Linked DNA regions of Saccharomyces cerevisiae S288C. The protein of the gene in region 2 purifies or fractionates together with the protein of the main gene of each other region. This does not show direct contact. Each region holds a gene or a part of one and is shown on either strand. Other genes may lie near its edges. The genes, in order: MPP10, NAN1, UTP9 and IMP3.

What was found.
Region 1: the proteins of NAN1 (region 2) and MPP10 purify together in Saccharomyces cerevisiae (affinity purification with mass spectrometry, with the first as the bait; 2 studies listed by BioGRID). This does not show direct contact.
Region 3: the proteins of NAN1 (region 2) and UTP9 purify together in Saccharomyces cerevisiae (affinity purification with mass spectrometry; 8 studies listed by BioGRID, with this or other methods). This does not show direct contact.
Region 4: the proteins of NAN1 (region 2) and IMP3 purify together in Saccharomyces cerevisiae (affinity purification with mass spectrometry, with the first as the bait; 3 studies listed by BioGRID). This does not show direct contact.

What each region holds. Positions count from the first base shown.
Region 1 is NC_001142.9:435,177-441,146, forward strand, and holds MPP10 (rRNA-processing protein MPP10), read left to right. Parts: upstream 1-3,688; coding exon 3,689-5,470; downstream 5,471-5,970. Other genes in the region: PRE3 (proteasome core particle subunit beta 1), read left to right, coding at 1-51, 168-750; AVT1 (Avt1p), read left to right, coding at 1,626-3,434; MRX12 (Mrx12p), read right to left, coding at 5,818-5,970. UniProt on the Saccharomyces cerevisiae protein: Involved in nucleolar processing of pre-18S ribosomal RNA. Required for the early cleavages at sites A0, A1 and A2 during 18S ribosomal pre-RNA processing.
Region 2 is NC_001148.4:306,260-315,887, forward strand, and holds NAN1 (Nan1p), read left to right. Parts: upstream 1-3,950; coding exon 3,951-6,641; downstream 6,642-9,628. Other genes in the region: TBF1 (Tbf1p), read right to left, coding at 274-1,962; HHO1 (histone H1), read right to left, coding at 2,569-3,345; karyopherin KAP120, read left to right, coding at 7,129-9,628. UniProt on the Saccharomyces cerevisiae protein: Involved in nucleolar processing of pre-18S ribosomal RNA. Required for optimal pre-ribosomal RNA transcription by RNA polymerase I together with a subset of U3 proteins required for transcription (t-UTPs).
Region 3 is NC_001140.6:490,206-494,158, forward strand, and holds UTP9 (Utp9p), read left to right. Parts: upstream 1-1,725; coding exon 1,726-3,453; downstream 3,454-3,953. Other genes in the region: MDM31 (Mdm31p), read left to right, coding at 1-191; NVJ1 (Nvj1p), read left to right, coding at 542-1,507; RIX1 (Rix1p), read left to right, coding at 3,691-3,953. UniProt on the Saccharomyces cerevisiae protein: Involved in nucleolar processing of pre-18S ribosomal RNA. Required for optimal pre-ribosomal RNA transcription by RNA polymerase I together with a subset of U3 proteins required for transcription (t-UTPs).
Region 4 is NC_001140.6:388,784-396,402, forward strand, and holds IMP3 (snoRNA-binding rRNA-processing protein IMP3), read left to right. Parts: upstream 1-4,750; coding exon 4,751-5,302; downstream 5,303-7,619. Other genes in the region: CRP1 (Crp1p), read left to right, coding at 1,517-2,914; mitochondrial 54S ribosomal protein uL6m MRPL6, read right to left, coding at 3,856-4,500; SKG6 (Skg6p), read right to left, coding at 5,672-7,619. UniProt on the Saccharomyces cerevisiae protein: Required for the early cleavages at sites A0, A1 and A2 during 18S ribosomal pre-RNA processing.

The DNA.
Region 1 (5,970 bases), on a different chromosome or scaffold from region 2:
AGTGGACATCAATCGTTTGAAAAAGGGCGAAGTCAGTTTAGGTACCTCAATGTATGTATATAAGAATTTTTCCTCCCACTTTATTGTTTCTAAAAGTTCAATGAAGTAAAGTCTCAATTGGCCTTATTACTAACTAATAGGTATCTTATAATCACCTAATAAAATAGTATGGCCGTGACATTTAAGGATGGTGTGATACTAGGTGCTGATTCACGTACCACCACTGGTGCGTACATAGCTAACCGTGTGACAGATAAATTAACGAGAGTACATGACAAAATTTGGTGTTGTAGGTCCGGTTCTGCAGCAGACACGCAGGCGATTGCCGACATTGTTCAGTACCATTTGGAATTATATACTTCTCAATATGGTACCCCCTCCACAGAGACTGCTGCCTCGGTGTTCAAAGAATTATGTTACGAAAATAAAGATAACCTTACTGCTGGTATAATTGTGGCTGGTTATGATGACAAAAACAAAGGGGAAGTATATACTATTCCATTGGGTGGCTCCGTCCATAAGCTGCCTTATGCGATAGCAGGATCTGGCTCTACTTTCATATATGGGTATTGTGATAAAAACTTTAGAGAAAATATGTCAAAGGAAGAAACCGTAGATTTCATAAAGCATTCGCTATCGCAAGCCATTAAATGGGACGGATCTTCCGGTGGTGTTATAAGAATGGTTGTTTTGACAGCTGCTGGTGTGGAACGTTTGATATTCTACCCTGATGAATATGAACAACTATAATAGACCCCAAAAGAACAAATTCTGAGTGATTACTTCTCTTTATATTTGTTAACAAATGCCTCTGGATCTACACTGATATAACATATAATAGTCTATAACCTCTTTCTCTTTTTCTCTTCGCTTTACGCTTTTTTCTCTAACTGTTAGAACGACAAAGTATCTCAGAAGGGAATTTCGTAAGCAAGATATTTTACGACTAATCATTTTTTTGTTGTATAAAAACGTATGTGAGATTGATTCACTAATTCTTCGGAGTCCTGGAAGGCTTACCTTATCTATGCATTCGTACAGTTGTGTGCAATGTTAAAAATGGTGACTGTATCTACGTATCTATAAAAAAAGGTTAACTACCGGAAAATCATTTCTTCTCGTAAAGTGTATATTTAGGTTCGGAAATCATAAACATTGTTTTTTTGTGTTTTTTATTTTTAAATAAAAAGAATAAATATTTTATATTAAAAAATAAATTTTAAAGTAAATTAATTATTTAACACGTGATTAAGTTACTCTAATATAATCCTATTTAATAATTAGTAGAGTTGTTGAGAACGAGTATAATATTATTTTTTTTTTATTTTTTTGTAGGTTCTTTGGCCATCCTAAATAGAATAAGCATCCACAACAACTAAACTGGTATTTTGTTATACACAACGCGTCTTGGTTAGGCATCTGTTTTGTTTTAGCTATTGTTCATCGCGTTTTTTTTTTTCTTATCTCTTTTACCGAGGGGCGAAAATAGCGATAGATCGAGAATATAAATAAATAAAATATTGTTGTGTTGTGTAGTTCTAAAGAAAAATTTTACAGTGAAAAGGTAACACCGGGGAGTCATTACGTAGACTTACGTATTCTGTATAACTGATTCCGAGACGCAAATGCCTGAGCAAGAACCATTGAGTCCCAATGGCCGTAAGCGCTCTGAGGTTCACTATATCTCAATCCCATTGAACAGAGGTTCCGCATTCTCACCAGATGATTCTGTATCACAGTTTCAGTCTGACGGGTTCATGACACGTAGGCAATCCATATTGGACCATCCTGTGGGCTCATTTAAGGGAGTTAATTCTTTAAGTCGATTTGCGACTTCGTTGAGGAGAGCCAATTCGTTTCGTAATATCGAGCTAAATGCGGATAATGAAAGATCCTTTTTCAAAGAGAGTAACGATGAAACCTACGATCCGGATACTTTAGCACCAGCTTTGGACGGTAGAAGATTATCAGTAACTTTAAATAATGCTGGTCGCCCGCGCATTACTAATTTGGCTAACAACGATAGAGTTAGTACAGCCAGCATGGCTATTCACGATGATGATTATGGGTCCATCCAAAATTCAACAATTGGGGATTCTGGGTCAATATTACGCCCTACTGCCTCCTTAACAGAAATGATGAGTGGTGGAGCGGGGAGAAGGTTTACAAATAATGACATGGATTCAATTGTAGTGAAGAGAGTGGAGGGTGTAGATGGTAAGGTAGTAACTCTTCTTGCTGGTCAGTCGACCGCTCCACAGACCATATTCAACTCAATCAATGTACTGATTGGTATTGGGCTCCTGGCGTTACCTCTTGGTTTGAAATACGCCGGCTGGGTTATAGGACTTACTATGCTTGCAATCTTCGCCTTAGCGACATTTTGTACTGCTGAACTTTTGTCTAGGTGCCTAGATACAGATCCAACTTTGATATCTTACGCGGACTTGGGATATGCAGCATTTGGTACAAAAGGGCGCGCACTAATTTCTGCTCTTTTCACACTTGACCTACTGGGTAGTGGGGTGTCCTTGGTGATTCTCTTCGGAGATTCTTTAAATGCTCTATTTCCTCAATACTCCACCACTTTTTTCAAAATAGTTTCATTTTTTATCGTTACACCCCCGGTTTTTATACCATTGAGTGTTCTATCTAATATCTCGCTTCTGGGAATCCTTTCAACAACCGGAACTGTGCTAGTCATTTGCTGCTGCGGACTATACAAGTCGTCTTCTCCAGGTTCATTAGTTAATCCGATGGAAACGAGCATGTGGCCGATAGATCTAAAGCATCTCTGTTTATCTATAGGTTTATTGAGTGCCTGCTGGGGAGGACATGCGGTTTTTCCCAACTTAAAGACAGATATGAGGCATCCAGATAAATTTAAAGACTGTTTGAAAACTACCTATAAGATAACATCGGTTACGGACATAGGTACTGCAGTTATTGGCTTTTTGATGTTTGGAAATCTTGTTAAAGATGAAATTACTAAGAACGTTTTGCTGACGGAGGGATATCCAAAATTCGTTTATGGTCTGATTTCAGCGCTTATGACTATCATTCCTATCGCAAAGACCCCATTGAACGCAAGACCTATCGTTTCTGTATTGGACGTTCTGATGAATGTGCAACACATAGATGAAGCGGCCAGCGCCATAAAAAGAAGAGCTGCGAAAGGCCTTCAAGTATTCAATAGGATCTTTATTAATGTTGTCTTCGTTTTGATAGCTATTAATTTCCCTGAATTTGATAAGATTATCGCATTTCTGGGGGCCGGTTTGTGTTTTACAATTTGCCTAATTTTGCCGTGTTGGTTCTATTTAAGATTGTGCAAGACAACAATCAAACCATGGGAGAGAGTGGCTTGTCACGTAACCATATGTATTAGTGTCGTGTTGTCCACATTAGGTGTTGGTGCTGCAATTATTTCATAATCGACGAGGGGCATACTTACTCTACTTAAAATTCATTTACATTAGCTCTGTACTTCTGATAATGAAAAACCATTGCGTAATATACATATTTTCGTGTAGAATTATTTCCATAAAATATTCACCGCCTTTTCTGTACTGGCCGCCGGCATGCGAGGGAAGCAGAAAATTTTCAATTTTGCGATGAGCTCTTGAAGAAACAGTGTTTTGTTATGAATAAATGATGTGTGCACGAAAGACCCAAGGAAAGTCGTATAATGTCAGAACTCTTTGGAGTATTGAAATCTAATGCTGGCAGAATTATTTTGAAGGACCCCTCCGCCACTTCTAAAGATGTTAAAGCATATATAGATTCAGTTATCAATACCTGTAAGAATGGGAGTATTACAAAGAAAGCAGAACTGGACGAAATCACTGTTGATGGTTTAGACGCCAATCAAGTTTGGTGGCAGGTCAAACTAGTTCTTGATAGTATTGATGGTGATCTAATTCAAGGAATTCAAGAACTCAAAGATGTTGTCACGCCTTCTCACAATCTCTCTGATGGTAGCACCCTGAACTCATCATCCGGGGAAGAAAGTGAACTAGAGGAGGCAGAAAGTGTTTTTAAAGAAAAGCAGATGCTCTCTGCTGATGTTTCTGAGATTGAGGAGCAGAGTAATGATAGTCTTTCCGAGAACGATGAAGAACCTAGTATGGATGACGAAAAAACCAGTGCAGAGGCAGCTAGAGAAGAATTTGCGGAGGAAAAAAGAATTTCTTCTGGGCAAGATGAAAGGCATTCTTCACCCGATCCTTATGGTATCAATGATAAGTTTTTCGATCTCGAAAAGTTCAATAGGGATACTTTAGCTGCAGAAGATTCTAACGAAGCTTCTGAGGGGAGTGAGGATGAAGATATAGATTATTTTCAAGATATGCCTTCAGATGACGAGGAGGAGGAGGCTATTTATTATGAAGACTTTTTTGACAAACCCACAAAAGAACCTGTGAAGAAGCACTCTGACGTAAAAGATCCAAAAGAAGATGAAGAATTGGATGAAGAAGAGCATGATTCTGCCATGGATAAAGTGAAATTAGACTTATTTGCGGATGAGGAAGATGAACCGAATGCTGAGGGAGTGGGAGAAGCCAGTGACAAGAACTTATCTAGTTTCGAAAAGCAACAAATAGAGATTAGAAAACAGATAGAACAATTGGAAAACGAAGCGGTTGCCGAGAAGAAATGGTCTTTGAAGGGTGAAGTAAAGGCAAAGGATCGTCCCGAAGATGCATTGCTCACTGAGGAACTTGAATTCGACAGAACTGCAAAGCCTGTTCCTGTTATAACAAGTGAGGTCACAGAATCATTAGAAGATATGATTAGACGAAGGATACAGGACAGTAACTTTGACGACCTTCAAAGAAGAACCCTGTTAGACATCACACGTAAGTCTCAACGGCCTCAATTTGAATTGAGTGATGTTAAATCCTCGAAGTCGTTAGCAGAAATATATGAGGATGACTACACACGCGCTGAAGATGAATCTGCATTAAGTGAAGAGCTTCAAAAGGCACATTCCGAAATATCAGAACTTTATGCTAACTTGGTATATAAATTGGATGTGCTTTCATCAGTGCACTTCGTTCCTAAGCCAGCAAGTACTTCTTTGGAAATTAGAGTTGAAACACCCACTATATCGATGGAGGATGCTCAACCTCTCTATATGTCGAATGCCTCTTCTTTGGCTCCTCAAGAGATATACAATGTCGGTAAAGCAGAAAAGGACGGAGAAATTCGCTTGAAGAATGGTGTTGCAATGTCTAAGGAAGAATTAACCAGAGAAGATAAAAACAGATTGCGCAGGGCTTTGAAAAGAAAAAGATCGAAAGCTAATTTGCCAAATGTAAACAAAAGATCTAAAAGGAATGATGTTGTTGACACTTTGTCAAAAGCCAAGAATATTACTGTTATCAATCAAAAGGGTGAAAAGAAAGATGTTTCCGGTAAAACGAAGAAGAGCAGATCAGGGCCAGATAGCACAAATATAAAACTTTGAACACGCCGAAGAAGACTTAGTTTGTATTTAGGTAAAAAATTATTTCTTCATAACTCTGTTCACCCAGCATTTTTTATGGAATATCGACCTTGTAATGTCATTAACCCCTTAAAGGACCACTTAAAGAAAATGAAGTGCATCATGAAATATTCATGACGAGATGCGGAACATATACACTCATAAATACCAGAAGAATGTGCTGAATAATTTTTTGTTGGTAATTGGCTGTCATTTAAAGTATCGTTGAAACAAGAGGTATTGGAAGATAGCTAATTTTAGTATTATTTATGACGTTCTTTCCTGGATAAATGTAGATGTATATACGTAATAAAATGTTAATTAGTAAGTTATATGCTTTCCATATAATGTTCTATCTTAGTCTGCATAACTTGTTTGCTTGTTTTTGTTTCTAACGCTTCTCCATACTGGGCTAAGAGATTTTTTATTTTTTTTGCAGCAGTCGGCCCTGATATCAGCTTTTCTCCTAGTGCGCCATCAAA
Region 2 (9,628 bases):
AACACATTTTTATCTTGGATTTTAAGTAATTATACAACAGTTTTCATTTTAGAAAATGAGAACATCAAATATATACATTCCAATGTAATAGAAAATGGAAAAGAAAAAAGAATAAAAAGAAAAACACGAGGGGACCAGGTTGCTAGAAGATAGGGTGACCACGTCAAAAGAATATACCTAGGGAACCAAACAATGCGAAGTTAACAACCCATCAAAGTATTTTTAATAGTGAGTGGTTCAATAGAAAATTAGAAGTCTGTTCATTTAAGCGCGCTACATCCCATCTTCTAAATGAGGATCAAAACCTGTATTGTCCGATGTACTATTGCCAAAAAGTCCGTTAGATGGCATATTATCACTATTTTGCCCATGTGAATCCTCTTGATGAGTTTGAGTGTCTTCAGTAGCAGATGCAGCTGATGAAGGATGCTGAGATAAATTTTGTTCCATAATAGTTGACGAATTTGGAGATTGAGAGAATTTTTTCTTTGCCTTGTAGATTTTCTCCAAGTTACCGGTCACTTTTATCAAATAGTCAGGCAATGGTTTGCCACTCTTCAAGTATTGTAATTTCCAATTACGGGCTTTATCTTTCAGTTGTACCTGCGTCCTGTTCTTCAAATTTTCCGTGATTTTACCACCGGGACCATATAAATCTAGAATCTTAGACCACGATGGGCCAACCTCTTTCAGGCCTTCCACTAATGCTTCTTCTTCCTCTTTGGACCAAGTTCTTTTCGCCTTTGGTTTTCTTAATCCGATACTACCATTATTGTTGCTGTTACTGCTGTTGTTATGAGAGGAATGAGGACCAGAGCTGCTGTTGCTCATCGAGGCCGCAACAGCGGCATCCACAATGGATTGTGTGATAGCGGGGTTTTTGGAAGACACATCTGTGGTAGGTGTATGTGTGCTGTAATGATTCGGACGAGCAGTTGACAAAAAAGCAGACGCACTGCTTGGCTGATTTTGGTCGTCCATGAATTCTACGGTCCTGGTCCCTGTAGAAAAGAGTACTTGAGGATCAAACTCGTTGACATCAAAGTCATATAATGGTGATTTTCCGCGACCCTTTCTGCCCCATATGATGAGACCCATATTTTTATTACAATAATCCAGCAACTCTCTGATAAATTGAGCCCATTCGTAGCTCTGGGTCAGAGAGTTAAAATCTTGGACGATCTTTAAATTTTCTCTCCGACGATCGCACCTTTCGACGAAGTCCTTCTCCGATGGAGTCAAAAGTGTAATGTCTCCAGAATCGCCGGTTCTTCTCTGCACGAGAATATCAGCCAGATTGGATGGGAAGATTAAGTCTAGTAGCTCTTGTTTCTTTTCTAAAGAAATTTCGTTCGTCTCGTCCTGAAACTCTTTCAAGCCGGCAATGTAAGCCTGTGTTTTCAGATCAAGATATAGGATAGCCTGCGATTTCAAAAACTTTCCGCTTTGTTCCAGGGAGTTGTTACCGACAGTGTTTGTATTTGGACAGAAAATATCGAGAAATATCGACTGTAGCAGCTCAAACCCGTAATTAAGGCAGTTCAGCGACGTCAATAGAAATGTTAGCAGATTCGCCTTTCTTATGGCAGTAATAATAAACGCTTCGTGGCCTCTCAATATAAGGGGGGGAGGGGAGTTGGGAAACCATAAACCAGGCGCCACGTCGTGAACAGACAGTAACGGAGATCTGGTGTGGTAAATCATTCTGATCTGCTTAAAGAGCTTGACTAACGTTTGAAAAATTTCTGTTTCGCCTGAGCTTAGGAAAGCCGTCTGGTCCGTCAAAACCGCTATAATATTGGGAGAGTTGGCATTAAGGATAAGAAACCTCAGTAGTTGAGTGGAGATATTGTCCAGCAGACATAATGAGCATATGGTCAACCTAGTTCTTGCAGGCAGGCTTTGGATGATGTCATTGAAGCGGTTTAAGCTTTCGTTATTATTGGGCACTTGCGAATCCATGACAAATGGGGAAAGAAGTGAGTAAAGAAAAACTAATGTAAAATGATTTCTGTCGCAGATGGGACAGCCACAATCTTAAATGTTGGCAAGGATATAGGAGCAAAACGCCAATATTGAGATGATTGTTTATTATAATGTTTACAAGGAAGGGCAAAGCATTGAGGAAAATTAGTCGGAATGAGGTCTCGCCGGGCTTCTACGGAAAGGGGCGAAAATTAATAGGGCACGGTGCAGAATATTAGGGCTTCAAATGTTCAGATTTTAAAGCCTTTTCTTCAAATACAATAATTAATTTTACACACTGTACCTTGCATATATAAGAGAAGAGAAATTTATAAACAGTATAGTTAGTTAGTTAAGAATGGAATTTGAATAAAATCATAAAGGAGATATTTACCGAATAAGTAACAAATAGAGAAGGGAGAGATTAAAAAATGAAAATTTACAGTACCGCCAACAAACACTTGAATAAGATTGAAAATTAGAGAGAAAAAAATTTAGAAATAATACAAAATACTAATAGTGATGGGACACAAAAATGAAGAAAGAAAATAGGTTTGATAGTATTGCTATCACCATTGACATTCTCGTTTGGATATTCACTTTTTACGTGGAGAGTTTGACCTTCTTCTTGTTTAGTTTAATAATGCCGGAGGGGCCCTTTGGTTGCACTAACTCGCCGTTTTCAACACATTTCTTGATAGCGCTATTGAACAGATAGTCAAAATTTGAGCTTGTTTTCAACTTGGAGGAGAAAGTGTCCTTGACATACTTCTTTAAAACGATACGGCTGGAGCCCTTACCGTCATTAAGTTGAGGCATGCTTTTAAGGATCATTTCCTTGTAGGTCAATGAAGAAGGCGAAGAGGCCTTCTTGGCGGTAACAGTAGGCGATTTTTTTTTCACTACTTTCTTTGGCGCTAGCTTCGTGGATGCGGCTTTCGCTTTTGATGCGGTTGCACTCACAGAAGTGGCGGCTTGCTTGGGTTTTGGACTGACCTCTTTTTCTTTCTTTACTTCTGGAGATTTCTTCTTGGCCAGTTTCACAGCACCAGCGGGTCCCTTTGGCTGTTCAAAATCGCCGGCCTCCACACCCTTCTTTATGGCATTGTTGAAGTACAAATCAAAGTTGCTTGCGGATCCGACGATCGGGTAGTTTTCCTTGATAAACTTCTTGAGTGCCGGACGACTGGATCCCTTACGTTCCTTCAAAGCCGTGAGCCCTTCAATGATCAACTCCCTGTAACTCTTGGAGGAAGCTTCCTCCTTTTTTGCCGTGGTTTTCTTGATAGCGGCCTTGGAAGTTGATTTCTCCTTGCCTTTGCTGGTTGCAGGCTTCTTGCCCTTACTTGTGGTCTTGGTAGTGGATTTCTTGGGTGCCATGTTGCTTTAGTTGTATTATAATTGCTTCCCTCGCTGCCAAGCATTATCAGGTGCCCATAAATAACAACTCCCCAAATCTATAGTTGCTCCTCCTCTTTAAATAAAGGCAGATAAACAAAAAACTTTGACCGCCCGCTTTTCCACACAAAAAACAAACAACAGCAGAAAACGCGACGCGAAAATGAAAAGCCAAAGAGAACAAACAAAAATCATCCATCAAACCTGTTATTGTGCAGAATAGCTTTTACCTAGACGCAAGTCCCTAGGAGGGGGCATTTTTGACACAGAATAGCATTTCATCAAAGCAAACAGCAACTTCTTGGAGATTTGTATTGCTTGGCATGTCAAAATCTAGCGGTCACATCAGTAGGGTAACAAAATAGCACGTCAGGGTTAAGGCGGCCTACTGCTTAGGGTACGTGGTAAGTGATGTAAAATGTGAGAAGGAGAAACTAGAAAAAAATTTTCCTTTCTTTTTCCTAGCGATGAGATGAGATGAAATTTTTCGAACAAATGATTTTTGGCACAGTTTACATATCAGTTATATTGGCTGTCGTCACAGGAACTACAAGTACAAACCAGAACCATTTTAGCTGATCACCAGAATGACGCAATCCCTAGGTATCGAACAGTATAAACTGTCAGTCGTATCTGGTGGGAAACCCGCTTTGAATAATCTCAGTTCAGTAACCGGCAATAAGAATATCGCCCGCCTATCACAAGACCAACGAAACTATATTATACCCTTTAACAATCAGATCAAGGTGTATTCTGTGGAAACTAGACAATGTGTTAAGACTCTAAAGTTTGCAAATAACTCCTTGTTATCCGGAATATTTCTGCAAGAAGAAGAGAATAATGAATCGATTGTAAAGATTCTGCTGGGTGATATAACCGTTCCGCAACAAGAAGACGCTCATCTGATTACCGTATTCACCAATAATGGTCATGTAATTGTTTTAAATTATAAGGGGAAGCTGGTCGAGTCCCCTAAGCATTTCAAAATCTCTTTGGCAGATGAAAAGCTTGCAAATGTTTTCCATAGCGAGGGCAACTATAGAATTTTGACAACGTTCAAGGACCCTAGTCAAAAGGCACATAACTCTTTGCAATCGTACAGGTTATATGCATTAACCTTTGACGATGCTAAAAAGCAATTTGAAGTGGCTCATCAGGCAGAATGGCACAACGTTATCTTGTCAAATATTTCTTCCAATGGTAAACTGCTAGCGCATATGTGCAAAGACGTCTCAACAAAAGATCACGAACACAAATCCATCTCAGTTGTTTCGCTTTTTGATGATTCTGTAAATTTAAGCTTTCCCCTCGGTTCCATCCTTTCTTCACAGACTCAATCCCTATCCTATAACACAAGGTACGTTTCTAGCATGGCCATAGACAATATGGGTCAACAACTGGCTGTTGGATTTGCCTCCGGAGTTATAAGTATCGTAAGCCTGGCCGATCTACAAATAAGACTGCTCAAATGGCATATAGACTCTGTGCTGTCACTCTCATTCTCTCACGATGGATCCTATTTGCTATCTGGTGGTTGGGAAAAAGTTATGAGTTTATGGCAATTGGAAACAAACTCTCAACAATTCCTGCCTCGTTTGAACGGTATTATAATCGACTGTCAGGTATTGGGACCTCAAGGGAACTACTACTCTTTAATCCTACAAATGACTGAAAACAATTCAAATTCTGACTACCAATTTTTACTTTTGAATGCTTCTGATTTGACCTCCAAATTGTCGATTAACGGGCCATTACCGGTGTTCAATAGCACCATAAAACACATTCAGCAACCAATCTCGGCCATGAATACCAAGAACTCCAACTCAATTACCTCTCTCAATCACTCTAAGAAGAAACAATCTAGAAAACTAATTAAATCGAGAAGACAAGATTTCACCACTAATGTAGAAATAAACCCTATTAACAAGAACTTGTATTTCCCACACATTTCTGCTGTTCAAATTTTTGACTTCTATAAAAATGAGCAAGTTAACTATCAGTATTTAACATCAGGTGTCAACAATTCTATGGGTAAAGTTAGATTTGAACTGAATTTACAAGACCCAATAATAACTGATTTGAAGTTCACCAAAGATGGGCAATGGATGATTACATACGAAATTGAGTATCCGCCAAATGACCTCTTATCTTCCAAGGACTTAACTCATATCTTGAAATTTTGGACCAAAAACGATAATGAGACAAATTGGAATTTGAAAACGAAAGTAATAAATCCACACGGGATAAGTGTCCCAATTACCAAGATATTGCCTTCACCAAGATCAGTTAATAATAGTCAAGGCTGTTTAACGGCTGACAACAACGGTGGACTGAAATTTTGGTCCTTCGACTCTCATGAGAGCAACTGGTGCTTGAAAAAAATTTCTTTACCAAACTTTAATCATTTCAGTAACTCCGTTTCTTTAGCTTGGTCTCAAGACGGGTCTCTAATATTCCATGGTTTCGATGACAAGTTGCAAATTTTAGATTTCGACACTTTTAAAAAGTTTGAATCATTGGAAAATACAAAGACGGTCAGTGAGTTCACGTTAGACTCTGAAATCCAAACCGTCAAGTTGATTAATGACACAAATTTAATAGTGGCCACCAGGACTACATTAAACGCCATCAACTTATTGCGGGGTCAAGTCATAAATAGTTTTGACTTATATCCGTTTGTTAACGGAGTGTATAAAAATGGTCACATGGATAGGCTTATTACTTGTGACGAAAGGACAGGCAACATTGCCCTGGTTATAAATCAACAACTAACTGATCTCGATGGCGTACCAACTATCAATTACAAATCCCGTATTATTATATTCGATTCTGACTTATCTACAAAATTGGGTAATTTTACGCATCATGAATACATATCTTGGATTGGTTGGAATTATGATACTGATTTCATATTTTTGGACATAGAATCAACACTAGGTGTTGTCGGAACCACTGTGAATACTCAACTATCTGATGAAGTTAATAACGAAGGAATATTGGATGGCCTGGTAAGTAACACCATCACAACTTCGGCATCCAATAGCGATATTTTTGCAGAACAATTGCATAAACTGTCGTCTAGGGGCAAAAAAAGTGACACTAGAGATAAAAATACCAATGATAACGACGAAGATGAAGAAGATATCGCTTTGGAATTTATAAATGGCGAAAAGAAAGATAAGCTAGTCAATATGAATAGTTTTACGAGCATGTTTGACAACATTCAAAACGTGCAAATGGATACATTTTTTGATCGTGTGATGAAAGTATTAACATAGCTTTAGGGTTCTTCCATTGGATATCCAAAATAGATATAAAGGTATATATATATATATATATATATATATGTTTATAAAGCAAACCGAAAGCAAAAATATCTGTATAACTTAGTTACAAGGGAAGGGAAGAGAATGCATTGGTTAATAGGAACAGACACTTCGTAAAAAGCTTCACAATCATTAATGTTAATAGAACTATCATAATATACAAAAAATCTCTTCATACGATTTTTGTTTGATGAGCATCCTCAGTCAAGATGAATAAAATAATCTCTCCAAATAAGCCGCCTCTTTTTTTTTGAATTACACTTCTATAGCGTACATTTCCATGTAAGAAGATTGAAGTTTCAAACAATTGGGTAGCTTAATATTTGTCAAACTTCTTGGTAGGTGTTGTGTTTAAGAAAAAGGAGGCACCATAAACTATTAACTTTTTAGCTTGCCTCAACTGTCAACCGAATCAAATTTTAAAAGGCGTTAAACAAAAATGGCCTCGTCTCTTAACGAGTTAAACTTGGTTCAAGTACTTGAACAAGCAAGTAACCCACAACATATTAGGTCAGATGTTCAAAAATTAGCCGAACAACAACTAAGACAATGGGAGACTCAAGCGGGATTTCATTACTTATTACAGTCAATCTACCTTAATTTATCTAATTCTTTACAAATTAGATGGTTGGCGGTAATTCAATTTAAGAACGGCGTGGATAAATACTGGAGATCCACTAGAATTAACGCTATACCTAAAGATGAAAAAGCCTCGATAAGAGGTCGTCTTTTTGAAATGATCGATGAACAGAATAATCAACTTTGTATTCAGAATGCCCAAGCTTCCGCAAGGATTGCAAGGCTAGATTTTCCCGTAGAGTGGCCAACCTTATTTGAGGATCTAGAAAACCTATTGAACGATGAGATCATCAGAAAAGATTCAGTTAAGATTTACAATATATTGATGCATATAAATCAAATCGTTAAAGTATTAGGTACTGCGAGAATAGGAAGGTGCCGACCCGCTATGCAAAGTAAAGTTCCTTTGATATTACCACTAATTGTCAGGATTTATTTACAATCATTTGAAGAATGGACGACATCCTCCAATCTCAACTACGAGGATCTTTCCAGTTTACAAGTTTCTTACCTAGCTTTGAAAGTGCTCAGAAGGATAATTTGTGAAGGATACGACCGCCCTCAAACCGATCAGTCTGTTTGCGATTTTATTAAACTATCCGTTTCACACTTTGAGATGTTAATTTCAAACCATGAAAACTTCAAAAAGTTTGATATTTACGAAAAGTTTATCAAATGCCTAGGAAAGTTATATTTCAATTTAGTCACTGGCTCTCCGGCTAATTTCATATTACTGCCATGCTCTACGCAAATTCTAATCACTTATACTAGGCTAATTTTCGATAAGGCCCCTAAAGTATATAGAGAGAATTCTGATGTCACGGGGGACTTTTGGGAACAGACTGCTATTAGAGGGCTTTTAATTTTGAAAAGGGTCATTAATTTCATTCACAAAAAGGGGGCAATTACGTTAAAAGCAAGAAGTGATAAACTAACCATAGATGCTTCTATCAACAAAATCAACACAGAATTTCTGAATGAGAATTTGATAACAAGGTTGGTTGACACTTTAATGGAATGGTACTTGAGGTTAAGACCAACTGAATTAGAAAATTGGTTTATGGATCCAGAAGAATGGATAAACGAACAAATGGCCACGAGTTACGAATATCAAATCAGACCATGTGCAGAGAACGTTTTTCAAGACTTAATGAATACTTTCTCTGAGCTGTTGGTTCCCTACCTGTTAAAGAAAATTGAAAATGATGCTTCAAAGCTATCAAACTCATTAGACGATTTTTTAAGGAAAGACGCAATTTATGCAAGTTTCCAATTAAGTGCATCCGCTGTTAGTGAAATGGTAGATTTTGACAGGTTACTAATTCAGGTTTTTTTACCAGAAGCTACAAATACAAACATATCAGGCGACGAATTAAGGATTATCAGAAGAAGAGTTGCTTTAATTATAAACGAATGGTCTACTGTGAAGTGTTCGGAAGAATCTAAAAGTTTATGTTACAAGTTATTTACAAACTTCCTGACAGATGAAGACGACAAAGTTGTTTTGTTAACCACAGTCCAGACTGTCAGAACCATGGTTGATGACTGGAACTTCAACAAGGATACTTTTCAGCCATTTTTAACTGAAAATGTTCATTTATTGTTGAGGAAAATTTTACCATCTGTGTCGTTAACCGAGACAAGGCTATATGTTTTAAACACCTTGAGCGATATCATAATTCAAACAAAACCTTTAATTAGCAGGGATCTATTAGTCGAAATTTTGCAAATCATACCAAACCTTTGGGAAATAGCAACAAATAATGCTAGTGAGGCTATTTTGGCAAACGCATTGTTAAGGTTATTGAGAAATTTGGTATCATCTTTGGGATCACAGTCACATTTAACGTGGGATATCGCCATACCTGTGGTTGCATTAGCCTGTGATCCCTCTTCTATGCAATATCAGTTGTTAAGCGAAGACGGGTATGAACTATGGGGCATGCTTCTTCAAAATTTTTCATCCCACGATCAAGAGTTTGACGATAAGTTCGTTGAATTGGTGCCATTTCTAAAGTATGGTATTGAGACACACACAGAGATTCTCCCAACTTTACTTGAAATTATCAAAAGTTATGCTCTGATTCTGAATCCTGTGGATTTTTTCTCTAACAACACATTTCAAGATATTTTTAAACAAATGTCTAAATATCTTTTAAAGTTAAGGGAAGATTCATTTCAGTTGGTTTTAGAAATCTGGGAAATTTTGATATTATCCAATGAGTCGGATTACGAAAATCTGTTATTGCAAAAATTCTATGAAACCGGAGTATTATCAGCATTATTCGATGCCATTTTCCTGGAAGAAGCTCCTTCATCTTATTTATGCTCGCAAATCATTCAAATCATCGCTAGAATAT
Region 3 (3,953 bases), on a different chromosome or scaffold from region 2:
CTGATTTTGAGGGCTCCTGGACCATATATGATTCATACCTTATGCGGGATCTAAGTGCGGAAGCGTACGATGCCTTCGCCGACTACGTCGCTGACGATGAAAAGAGGACATTACGCTTGAGAAGGGTGGGCTTTTGGTCACTGCAACTTATACTCCAGGTGATTTTGATGAGTCTCGGTGCTATCGCGTGAGGAATACCTACTCCTGTCACTTTCTGTACATATGCATTTACATAGCATCGTTCTTTCTATCAGTTTATCTAATTTGTGACGCATCTTTCTTCTTTCTACACTGCGGAAAATCCTATTTGAAAAAAAATAGACGAAAAATATCAGGACCCACCCCCTTATGAAGGAGAGAAGGGGAAGAGGAGCTGCAAAACAAAAAGGTGAGGCTTCTTCTGTCCAGATTTTTGTGAGTGAGAGAGTGTGTGGGAAGAGAAGGAATTAAACCAAACAAAAATTGGAACCAACAACTGTTGCGTTTGCGTGTGTGCATAATATCAAAAAAGCTACAAATATAATTGTAAAATATAATAAGCATGACTCGTCCCCCATTGGTTCGTGGAATCTTTTCGTTAGGTCTTTCTGTAGCCGTTTTGAAAGGTGTTGAAAAAACAGTTCGTAAGCATTTGGAAAGACAGGGATGGATAGAGCCCCAGAAAGTGGACTATGAGTTAATTTTCACTATAGATAGGTTGAAAAACTTGGTAGATAATAAGCGTGAGGCTTTAACTGCGGAACAACCCGACGCTGGTGAACTGAGCTGGCGTAAAGTATTTAATTTCATTTCCAGACAATCCAGCGAATTGGACACACGAATATACGTTCTTATACTACTCCTATCCTTTCTACTACCTATCGCGTGGACTGTACTGGACGGTGATCGCGAGACCACGCTAGAAGATAAGGATAACGATTGTAATGTAGATCTTATTGAAAACGAAAGGAGGCTGAAGCATTACAACGATGGTGAAAGAGCAGTATTGCAATTTGGTAAAAATAGATCCGAACCTATTATATTAAGCTATAAGGACATGAACGTTTTGGAAGGGGAACATGAGTTTACCTCCAAAGAGGAACACAGTAACAGCCATTTGACAAGCAAGAGCGAAAATGCACTAAACCAAGTAGGGAGTGAAGATTTGTTAGGTTGTCACCTGGAAAAGCAATTGGAAGAAGACAAAAATGAACCGAATGGAGAAGCAGACGGTGAGGATGATAATAACCGGGAAAAGGATTGCAGCTCCAGTTCAGAAGTTGAGTCGCAGAGTAAATGCCGAAAGGAAAGTACTGCAGAGCCTGACTCTCTCTCACGGGATACCAGAACAACCTCTTCCCTTAAATCAAGTACATCATTCCCCATATCATTCAAGGGCTCGATAGACCTTAAGTCGTTAAACCAGCCTTCATCATTGTTGCATATACAAGTATCTCCCACAAAATCTAGTAATCTAGATGCACAAGTGAACACTGAACAAGCATACTCTCAACCATTTAGATACTAATGTACTATATTTCCGTCATCTCGGTTATCATCGTCACTTACAACGAGGTGCGAAAATTTTTTTCTTCTAAAGGTGAGAAGAAAACATGAAAAATTTTGAAAAATTTAACGATGAGATGGAGTTTTCAAGTAACTTTATGTAGTTGAAATACATATTAGTACTCCGTTGCAATATATAACGCCGGGCATTCTCCACGTATATACATACCGTAGTGCACAATGGGCTCCTCTTTGGATTTGGTGGCGAGCTTCTCGCATGATTCCACTCGTTTTGCATTCCAAGCAAGCGTCGCACAAAAGAACAATGTGGATATTTATCCATTAAATGAAACTAAGGATTATGTGGTCAATAGTTCATTAGTGAGTCATATTGACTATGAGACAAACGATATGAAGGTTTCAGATGTAATCTTCTTTGGGTGGTGTAGTGATTTGATAGATACGCAGTCATCCAATATCAAAAGAAAATTAGATGAAGATGAAGGAACTGGTGAATCAAGTGAGCAAAGATGTGAAAACTTTTTCGTTAACGGATTTCCTGACGGAAGAATTGTTGTTTACTCTTCTAATGGTAAGGATATAGTTAATATCATCAAGAATAAAAAAGAGATTTTGGGAGCAGACACAGACGAGTCTGATATATGGATTTTGGATAGTGATAAAGTCGTTAAGAAATTACAGTATAACAATTCGAAACCTCTAAAGACTTTTACGCTAGTTGATGGTAAAGATGACGAAATAGTTCATTTCCAAATTTTGCACCAAAATGGCACTTTATTGGTATGCATTATTACTAAACAGATGGTTTATATTGTTGATCCATCAAAGAGAAGACCCTCTACTAAGTATAGTTTTGAAATATCAGACGCTGTAGCATGTGAATTTTCTTCAGACGGTAAGTATCTGTTAATTGCCAACAACGAAGAATTAATAGCTTACGACTTGAAGGAAGATTCAAAGCTGATCCAATCATGGCCTGTCCAAGTGAAGACATTGAAAACTTTAGATGATTTGATAATGGCTTTGACTACTGATGGTAAAATTAATAATTATAAGATTGGCGAAGCCGACAAAGTTTGTTCTATAGTTGTAAATGAAGATTTGGAAATTATAGATTTCACGCCAATAAACAGCAAGCAACAGGTTCTAATTTCATGGCTAAATGTCAATGAACCCAACTTTGAATCTATTTCTTTAAAAGAAATTGAAACTCAGGGGTATATTACAATAAACAAAAATGAAAAAAATAATGCTGATGAAGCGGACCAAAAGAAATTAGAAGAGAAAGAAGAAGAAGCTCAGCCTGAAGTTCAACATGAGAAGAAGGAGACTGAAACTAAGATAAACAAGAAAGTTAGTAAATCAGATCAAGTTGAAATTGCTAATATTCTCTCATCGCATTTAGAAGCTAATTCAACAGAAATATTGGATGATCTGATGTCTGGAAGTTGGACAGAACCAGAGATTAAAAAATTCATCTTAACCAAGATCAATACAGTAGATCATCTAAGTAAGATATTTTTGACTATATCAAAGTCAATAACACAAAATCCATGGAATGAAGAAAATTTACTTCCGTTGTGGCTTAAGTGGTTGCTGACTTTGAAAAGTGGGGAGTTAAATTCTATAAAGGATAAACATACAAAGAAAAATTGCAAGCATTTAAAATCTGCATTAAGATCTTCAGAGGAGATCTTGCCTGTTCTACTCGGTATACAAGGTAGATTAGAAATGTTGAGGAGGCAAGCAAAATTGAGAGAGGATCTTGCACAACTATCTATGCAAGAGGGTGAAGATGATGAAATAGAAGTTATAGAGCATTCAAATGTAATTAGTAATCCTTTGCAGGATCAAGCATCGCCTGTTGAAAAGCTTGAACCAGATTCAATTGTTTATGCAAATGGAGAAAGTGACGAATTTGTCGACGCATCGGAATACAAAGATTGATCAAGCATTTTAAATATATTTAAGTATATACAAAGAAAAGTTTCACATGAGAAGCACTGATTGATGCAGCTATTAATTTTCAAAAGATTACGTTGTCTTCATCATTTGAGACGGGTCATCGCAAGAAAATTTTTCAATATTAAACTATAATAAAATGTAGTAAAAAATAGATGCAATACTACTATTCAATTTTTGTGGTTTTCCAGTTATCAAACTAAGTATAGACAAAATTTGAGCATGTCAGAGGAATTTATCGCAGTTTCTACTTTGGCTAGAAACCTGGAAATTGCCAAGGGTAATGAGTTTCATACCATTTTGGCGACTTTAAGATCACCAGTTTATATCAATGAACAGCTGCTAAAATCCGAATTGAGCTTCCTTGTTACAAAAATCCTAAAACTTATCAGATCAGGCAATGACTTTGATCTTTGGAAAGGATGTCACACCTCTGTTGTGACTTGCGCCTATAATCCACTGGTCTTATCGACTCATGGAGGTCA
Region 4 (7,619 bases), on a different chromosome or scaffold from region 2:
TTGAATTCTATGGTAATGCAGAAGTTTCAATTCTCGAGATTGCCTACATCATCTCATAACTGCGTACCGCGCGTTCTTGCAAAGAACAAAAAAGTGAAAAAATTATAATGGGGCGAGCTGGGAATTGAACCCAGGGCCTCTCGCATGCTTTGTCTTCCTGTTTAGGCAGGAAGTCGCCCAAAGCGAGAATCATACCACTAGACCACACGCCCATGTATCTGTTGGTGTTCTAAATAAAGAATTAAACTATGTAGGCATAAAAAGAGACGGGAGCATCTTAAAGATGCAACTGGATGGAGAATGGCAAAATATGAAGAAGAAGGAAGGAAAAGAAATATTATTATGCGTAACTGTTGATTCCTTTTTGTGGATTTCTTGAGGAGAATGTCTTTTTGAAGAGTGGGTGAATTTTGAGATAATTGTTGGGATTCCATTTTTAATAAGGCAATAATATTAGGTATGTAGAATGTACTAGAAGTTCTCCTCGAGGATTTAGGAATCCATAAAAGGGAATCTGCAATTCTACACAATTCTATAAATATTATTATCATCATTTTATATGTTAATATTCATTGATCCTATTACATTATCAATCCTTGCGTTTCAGCTTCCACTAATTTAGATGACTATTTCTCATCATTTGCGTCATCTTCTAACACCGTATATGATAATATACTAGTAACGTAAATACTAGTTAGTAGATGATAGTTGATTTTTATTCCAACACTTTTATATATTCTGTATTTGATGTTATAGCTTTATCAATTACAGAATGCCAAAAATTATCAAATTATTCACCAATATCCCAAATTTTAATGCAACCGTTATGATCCGACTATTGATAAAGGAAATTCCTATTCTACATAATGTTACTGGTATTTCTTCTTCCGTTTTTTATGTCGTCATTCGTCATCCTATTGCATTATCAATCTTTGCGTTTCAGCTTCCATTAAATTATGAAGATTATTTTTCAATCTTAAAGTCATCTTCTTACACTGGATATAATAATATACTAGCAGTATGAATATTAGTCGATAGACGATAGTTGGTTCTATTTCGACGGGTAATATTCTACTAATACCAATGACACTATTAATTTACCTAACAGAAATTCTTCTTCAATTGACCCTAGCGTTTGCCTTATTATCAAGACACTGAAGGTAAAGTTGCCGATAAACTTTTTGGGTTCCACTGTGCACCTATTTCTATGCTTCAATAAGCAGTTCCAGGTAAGGTTTCACCATTTCAACCCAAGTAAATGCTATGTAGTTATAATATTAATTAATGTGTTCTACTGGTTTTTCTGTGCATAAAAAAGACGCTCTGACGCCATTTATCTTGGTGTGTTACCCGTTAGGAAAAGTGGCGTTGCTAAAATTGTTGAAACCCGATCTCATCGCCTGGTAAACAATACAAACAAGGATTTGAACAAGGTTTTATCATTTTCTGATACGTTTTTTGTACTTACAAAATAAAAGATACAAAAATCACTAAGAAAACTAATCTATCAATAAAAATGAGTAGTGAACTCATGTTCAACTATACTTTTAGCTGGCCTGCTGGTCCAAAAGATGTTATTTTAACAGGAACGTTTGATGACTGGAGGGGCACTTTACCCCTCGTGAAGACCGCCAAGGGAAATTTCGAAATTACTATGCCCGTGAAGCTAGCCAACAAGGATGATACGTTTCAGTTTAAGTTTATTGTGGATGGCGTTTGGTGCGTTAGTGATTCGTATAAAAAGGAGCATGTTAGTGAAGGAATCGAAAACAATTTCTTACAAATTACCGATTTAGTTGAAACGCAGGAAGTTGCCGGTGCCAGTAGAATCCCGGAGGCAGGTGGCCTATTATGTGGTAAACCGCCTCGTTCAGCAGGTCCTCCTTCTACAAGTAATAGAAAGAAAAACAAGCGTAACAATAAGAAAAGAAGATCTAAATTGAAGAAAAAGAGTACTAAGAACAACAAGAAGTCAAATGAAAGTTTAGACGATAATGAAGAAGAAGACGGGGTGACTGGAACTACTACTGAAGATGTTACTGGAACCTCTAGGGAAGAAACTCCATTGGCGGAGCCTACTAATGTTTCCAAAGAAGCTCCGGGCAATTTCCATATTCTGCCAATCGATCAAAGTGCAGACACAACTCAATCAAATGGTATAATTGGTGGACCAGGTCCTGTTCTTGTCCCAAACCCTGGTGAAATCAAGGAATTTACCGAAATTAGAGACGTTGATGCTAGGGAATTGAATGAAAGACTTAACAAAAAAGAAGAGGTTCCAGAACCCGTTGCTGGCCCTATTGTTGAATCATCAGTTACGGAAAAGAGTCCTGCTCTTCCACAAGCTGACGACCCGATTGTTGAGACCAAGGAAGTGGCTCATAATGTGCAGGAACTTACTCCTCAAGTGGAAGCGGTTACTCCGTTAATAAATGAGCCCGAACCATTACCAACTCCGGAAGCACAAATATCTATACCTGAGTCATCGAAAGTTGAACCAGTGGAGGGGTCTCTTCAATCTAAGTTGGTGGAGAAACGTGAGTCCACTGAAGGTGTATTAGACGGTTCCAAAAAAGTAGAAAATAAGGCAAAAAAAGATGAAGAGGTCTTTACATTAGACCCCATCGTTAACAAAGCTCCCAAGCTACCCTTGACTGACGAGCAAACAGCTGAAGGTAGAAAATCACCAGCAGTGTCAGAAGAAAAAGAAAAGAAAAAGAAGCAAGAAAAAGGCTCTAAAGAGGTCAAGAGGTCAGAAACCAGTAAAGAAAAAAAGCCTTCTGCCAAAGAGGTTAAGAAACAAACTGTAAAAGCCCCAAAGAAACAGACAGCTTCTCCTTTGTCTTCTTCGACAGAAGAGCCCAAGAAGAAGAAAACTGGTTTCTTCGGCAAATTGAAGAAGCTATTTAAGTGAATTATCTAAGGATTGGTCTCATGTTGCCGAATCATAGAAATATAAGAAAAAAATTAAAAAAAAAAAGAAAGAAAGTATAATACTAATATTGGCAATAATGCTAACACATTACTAATAATAGCAATAATATTAATAATAATAATAATAATAATAAATTATAATAATAGCAGTAATAAAAATATCAAATAATAATAATAGTAATAGTAGTAGTAGTAGTAGCAGTTGTAGTAATGATAATAATAATATAATAATAATATAATAATAGTATAATAATAGTATAAGTAGTTGTAGGTAAAAATCTTTGATTTATCTTATCTGGTTGCAATGCTTCTCCCCTCTGATGCCTAATATGTCTATCTTTATCCTATACCAATTGGCAGGGGAGCAATCATAATTTACATTAATATCGTCCACCATACCCTGAAATTCCAAAAGAGTTCGAGAAATTGGAAGGTACAGCATTTCATTTACTCACTTATTTGATCTTTTCTTTTGTTTTCTGGTAAACATCTTTGTTTTAAATGGGCTCTCTACAACAAAACATGAAAAGTACTCAAGAAAAAAAATCTTTATTAGCGTTGGAATCAAAAAATATATAGCATTAGCAGAACGTTAAAGAGGATATTTGGTTTCTAGTCTAAATGGTGTTCCCTTTTCGAAACTGTATAAAATGAAAGGTAAGGTTCGAACTTCTGTGGCCTTACTTATTGCGTTCATATTCCGTGAAACTAGTATATATTAAAGGTTGCAAGCCAAGAGTTTCATTGAACACCAAAATGTTTACCAAGCAAGAACACGTCACCGCATTAATAACCAATATAAATTTCATTTAAGTTATTTTCATAGGATATTTACAAGGTATTCCCTATAAAGTATAAGAAAAGATACATGTCATAAAAAAAATTACGAAAATGAGTACGAAAATAACTGAAATCCTGAAGTTATTTGATTTTCTTGTCCTTTAGCTTTATTGTTTCATCGTTAACGTATATTCCTTTGCCTTTATACGGCTCTGGTGGATGGAATTTTCTCAATTTGGCAGCAAAAAGAAGGACCTGCTGCTTATTGCACCCTTCAATAATCAGAGACGTGGGAGCAGGTGTTTTGACAACAATACCTTCAGGAACGTCCAATCCTTGTTTGATAGATGCACCCACCTTAACGTTGACAAATTTACCATCATTTTCTAATTGAGCTCTATAACCTGTCCCTACAAATCTAAGGACAGCAAGATGCCCCTCAGTAACACCTATAATGTGATTATTTATAAGTGATCTTACTGTACCCCACATCGAACGTTGATGTTTATCTTCTGAATTCTGAACTGTAACATTTATTTTACCGTGCTTTTCATCCTTGTCCAAGTGCAAAAAATCAGGGACCTCCACGGACAATTCACCCTTGGGTCCCTTTACTGTGATATTCTGTGATATATTCATTGAAGTTCTACCTTTTCTGATAATCCTGGGCATGGATAATGCATTTATGGAAACCTGAACTTCAGGAGATATATAAAGTGGTAAAGACCCCACTTGAGAGCGCAGAAAAAGTGTTTGCGACAATAACCTCCTCTGAATAAATGACATAGGTTGGCCTCAATTCCTATAGTAAGATTTGCGATAGCTTTATTGCGTGATCTTCCCTTACTTACTAGTATTTGATATTCTTCCTCTATAACCGTAGCGTCTCCTCGCTATTTCCGCTCGCCTTTCATTACCCTCTACTTCCAGTGAAAAAAATTTCACTGATATAAGCTCATCGCAACAAAAATTCAATGGGATAAGTAATATAGAACGTTCTAAATAGATAAACCACCAGGCATAATCACAACCAATAATGGTTAGAAAACTAAAGCATCATGAGCAAAAGTTATTGAAAAAAGTAGACTTCCTTGAATGGAAGCAGGACCAAGGCCACCGGGACACTCAGGTCATGAGAACATATCATATTCAGAATCGTGAAGATTATCATAAATACAATAGGATATGCGGTGATATTCGTCGTCTTGCCAATAAATTATCATTATTACCTCCCACTGATCCATTTCGTCGCAAACATGAGCAATTATTACTGGACAAGCTATACGCTATGGGTGTCCTGACAACTAAATCAAAGATTTCTGATCTGGAAAATAAAGTTACTGTTAGTGCCATCTGTAGGAGGCGATTACCTGTAATAATGCATAGATTAAAAATGGCGGAAACTATACAAGATGCAGTCAAGTTCATTGAACAAGGGCATGTTCGCGTGGGTCCAAATTTGATCAACGATCCAGCCTACCTCGTAACGAGAAATATGGAGGACTACGTTACTTGGGTGGACAACTCTAAGATCAAGAAAACCTTGTTGAGATACAGAAACCAAATCGACGATTTTGATTTTTCATAAATTGACTACAAACTTACGTTTTCTGTATCAATACTCGATTTATCATCTTCCTACATTGTGAAATTATTACGAATAGGCAACGAGGCAGCAAATACAAATGATGTGAGGCGCCTGAGCTTTCTTAAAAGCTGGAAGCATGAAAAATTGTTATATACACAAAGGAACTTCTTCGTCGTATGCAAAAATAAGAAAAACCGCAAAACAATTTCTCATCGGCGTCATTTGTTAAATATGCCTTAAAACTTAAAAATACACTTCGAAAAAATCCTATTTAACATAAATTAATTTGTATAAATACGCAATTTGTAAAATTTCTCCAATAAAACATCAATTTATATATCCGATAATTGTCCGTTCATTATCTACACTTCAGTTGACGGTATAATTATGTGAAGAGCCTAATTGTTTTCTTAAATCGTCCTGTGAACCACTATGTGGCAAAATTCCACCAACACTTGGTGGCTGTACAACATCTGTCTCTTCTAATATCCCACTAACACGAGAATTATACAGTTGCTGCTGCTGCTGTTGCAGATAGATATTATTTTGTGTGGTCAGACTGTTATTTCTTGAATTGGTTGCGCTTACACTTCTGAAAGAACCTGCTGGCTTATAAGATGGTTTTGCCGTCAAATCCGAAGGATTGGTCATTACCACACTTTGTCTAAGTTGATAAGGTGAAGGAACCGCCCCATTTTCGTTAAACTTCATATATTGGCCTTGCTGCTGTGGAGCATAATAGGCATCGTTTGTCGGTGAATAAAACATTTCCGGATGATCGACCGGATTTAACGCAGTTCCGTTTAGTCTGGCAGTCTGTAATTGAAGAAGTTGTTGCTTGTTTGGTCTTTTAAAAGAGGTCAATGAATGCGAGGAAGCTGATTGAGCTAAATATGCGGGAGTTGGTAATTCTCCAATAGTTTCCAGGGTCTGAGGATGATTATGTTGCTGTTGTTGAGGAGTTGGTACACCGTACCATTGTGGATTTTGCACGAATTGCGCAGTATACCCCTGTTGCTGAGGATTTCCGCTATATCCATTGCCAGGATACTGTGTGTGGCCATTATATACTGGTGATTGTTCCTGTTGTTGATATTGATCCTGATAATTCAACGGCTGAATTGCTTCGGAATAAATTGAGGAAGCAATTCTATTGGAAGGCGCTGCTTCCGTATCGTTCACGGTGAGTGTATCCTGCACTGGATATTGTTTCTGGCTTTGGGCCATTTCTGGACCATATTCTGCCAAGTTAGTATTGTTTAGAGGAAGTGCTTCTTTCACCAGGTGTTTTGCTTCCGGTACCTCATTATTGTCGATATTGTCGTTATTATTAATTTTGATAGAAGGCAGTGGATTCTGGACTATATTATCCACTCTATTCTCCTCCTGCGATATATCATTTGCATTATCTGCTTTATCCTCTTCCTTTTTCATTGTTTTAGCTCTATCCAAATAAACTTGATAAATACTTTTCATTCTCTTAATATCTTCTTCTTCATTAGGGGATAAGAGTGATACATAGTAATCATCATCTTGACTTTTACTGCTACTACGATCATTCATATGTTCAGCTTCTCTGATATCTTGAAGTTCATAATTATCATCATCCTTACCAAAACGCAGATTCCTTTCATGTGTCTTTTCTGAACTATTATCAAGTTCGAATTCGAACGCGTCATTGCTTGCAGACTCATTTGACTCATTCAAAACCTCAGCCTCTTCACTAACTGAGGACGAATCATTGTCTTCATTAGGAAATGTAAACTGCTTGTTGGCACCTTCTGTGGCAGAACCACGGGAAAGCTGGTTATTATGGATTGGGCTACCGTGAGATCGAAAGCTTTCACTCTCTTGAAATCTTGAAGACGCTCTTATTGGTGTACAATTCGAAAAGTTATCAGGATGCAAGGACGTTTGACTGGCATTTCTAGACTCGGCCGCAACTTTATAGCCACCTAGTCCATCTTCTTGTACTCTCATGGCAAAATCTCTCAAACTGTTAGAGTCGTTCGATTCCTGTGGAAGCTGAAACGGGTCTACGTACCATGACCGACCAATTGCAGGTGGGGTAGCGCTTCTCACATTATATTTACTACTATGCATGCTACCAACAAAGGGATCTGAAGGCGGCTGTTGCAAGGTCTTTTCCATGAAGTCTTGCTGCGAGTCGCTAGAGTACAAATGATTTATTCCAGGTGAATAATCCTTCATTGTCGGTAAAAATTCAGAATCTCCTTCGAAATCTGGATCATTATCTTCCTCAGCTTCCTTTTTGCTTCTCCTATACACAATGCAAAGTATCACAGCCAGAACAATG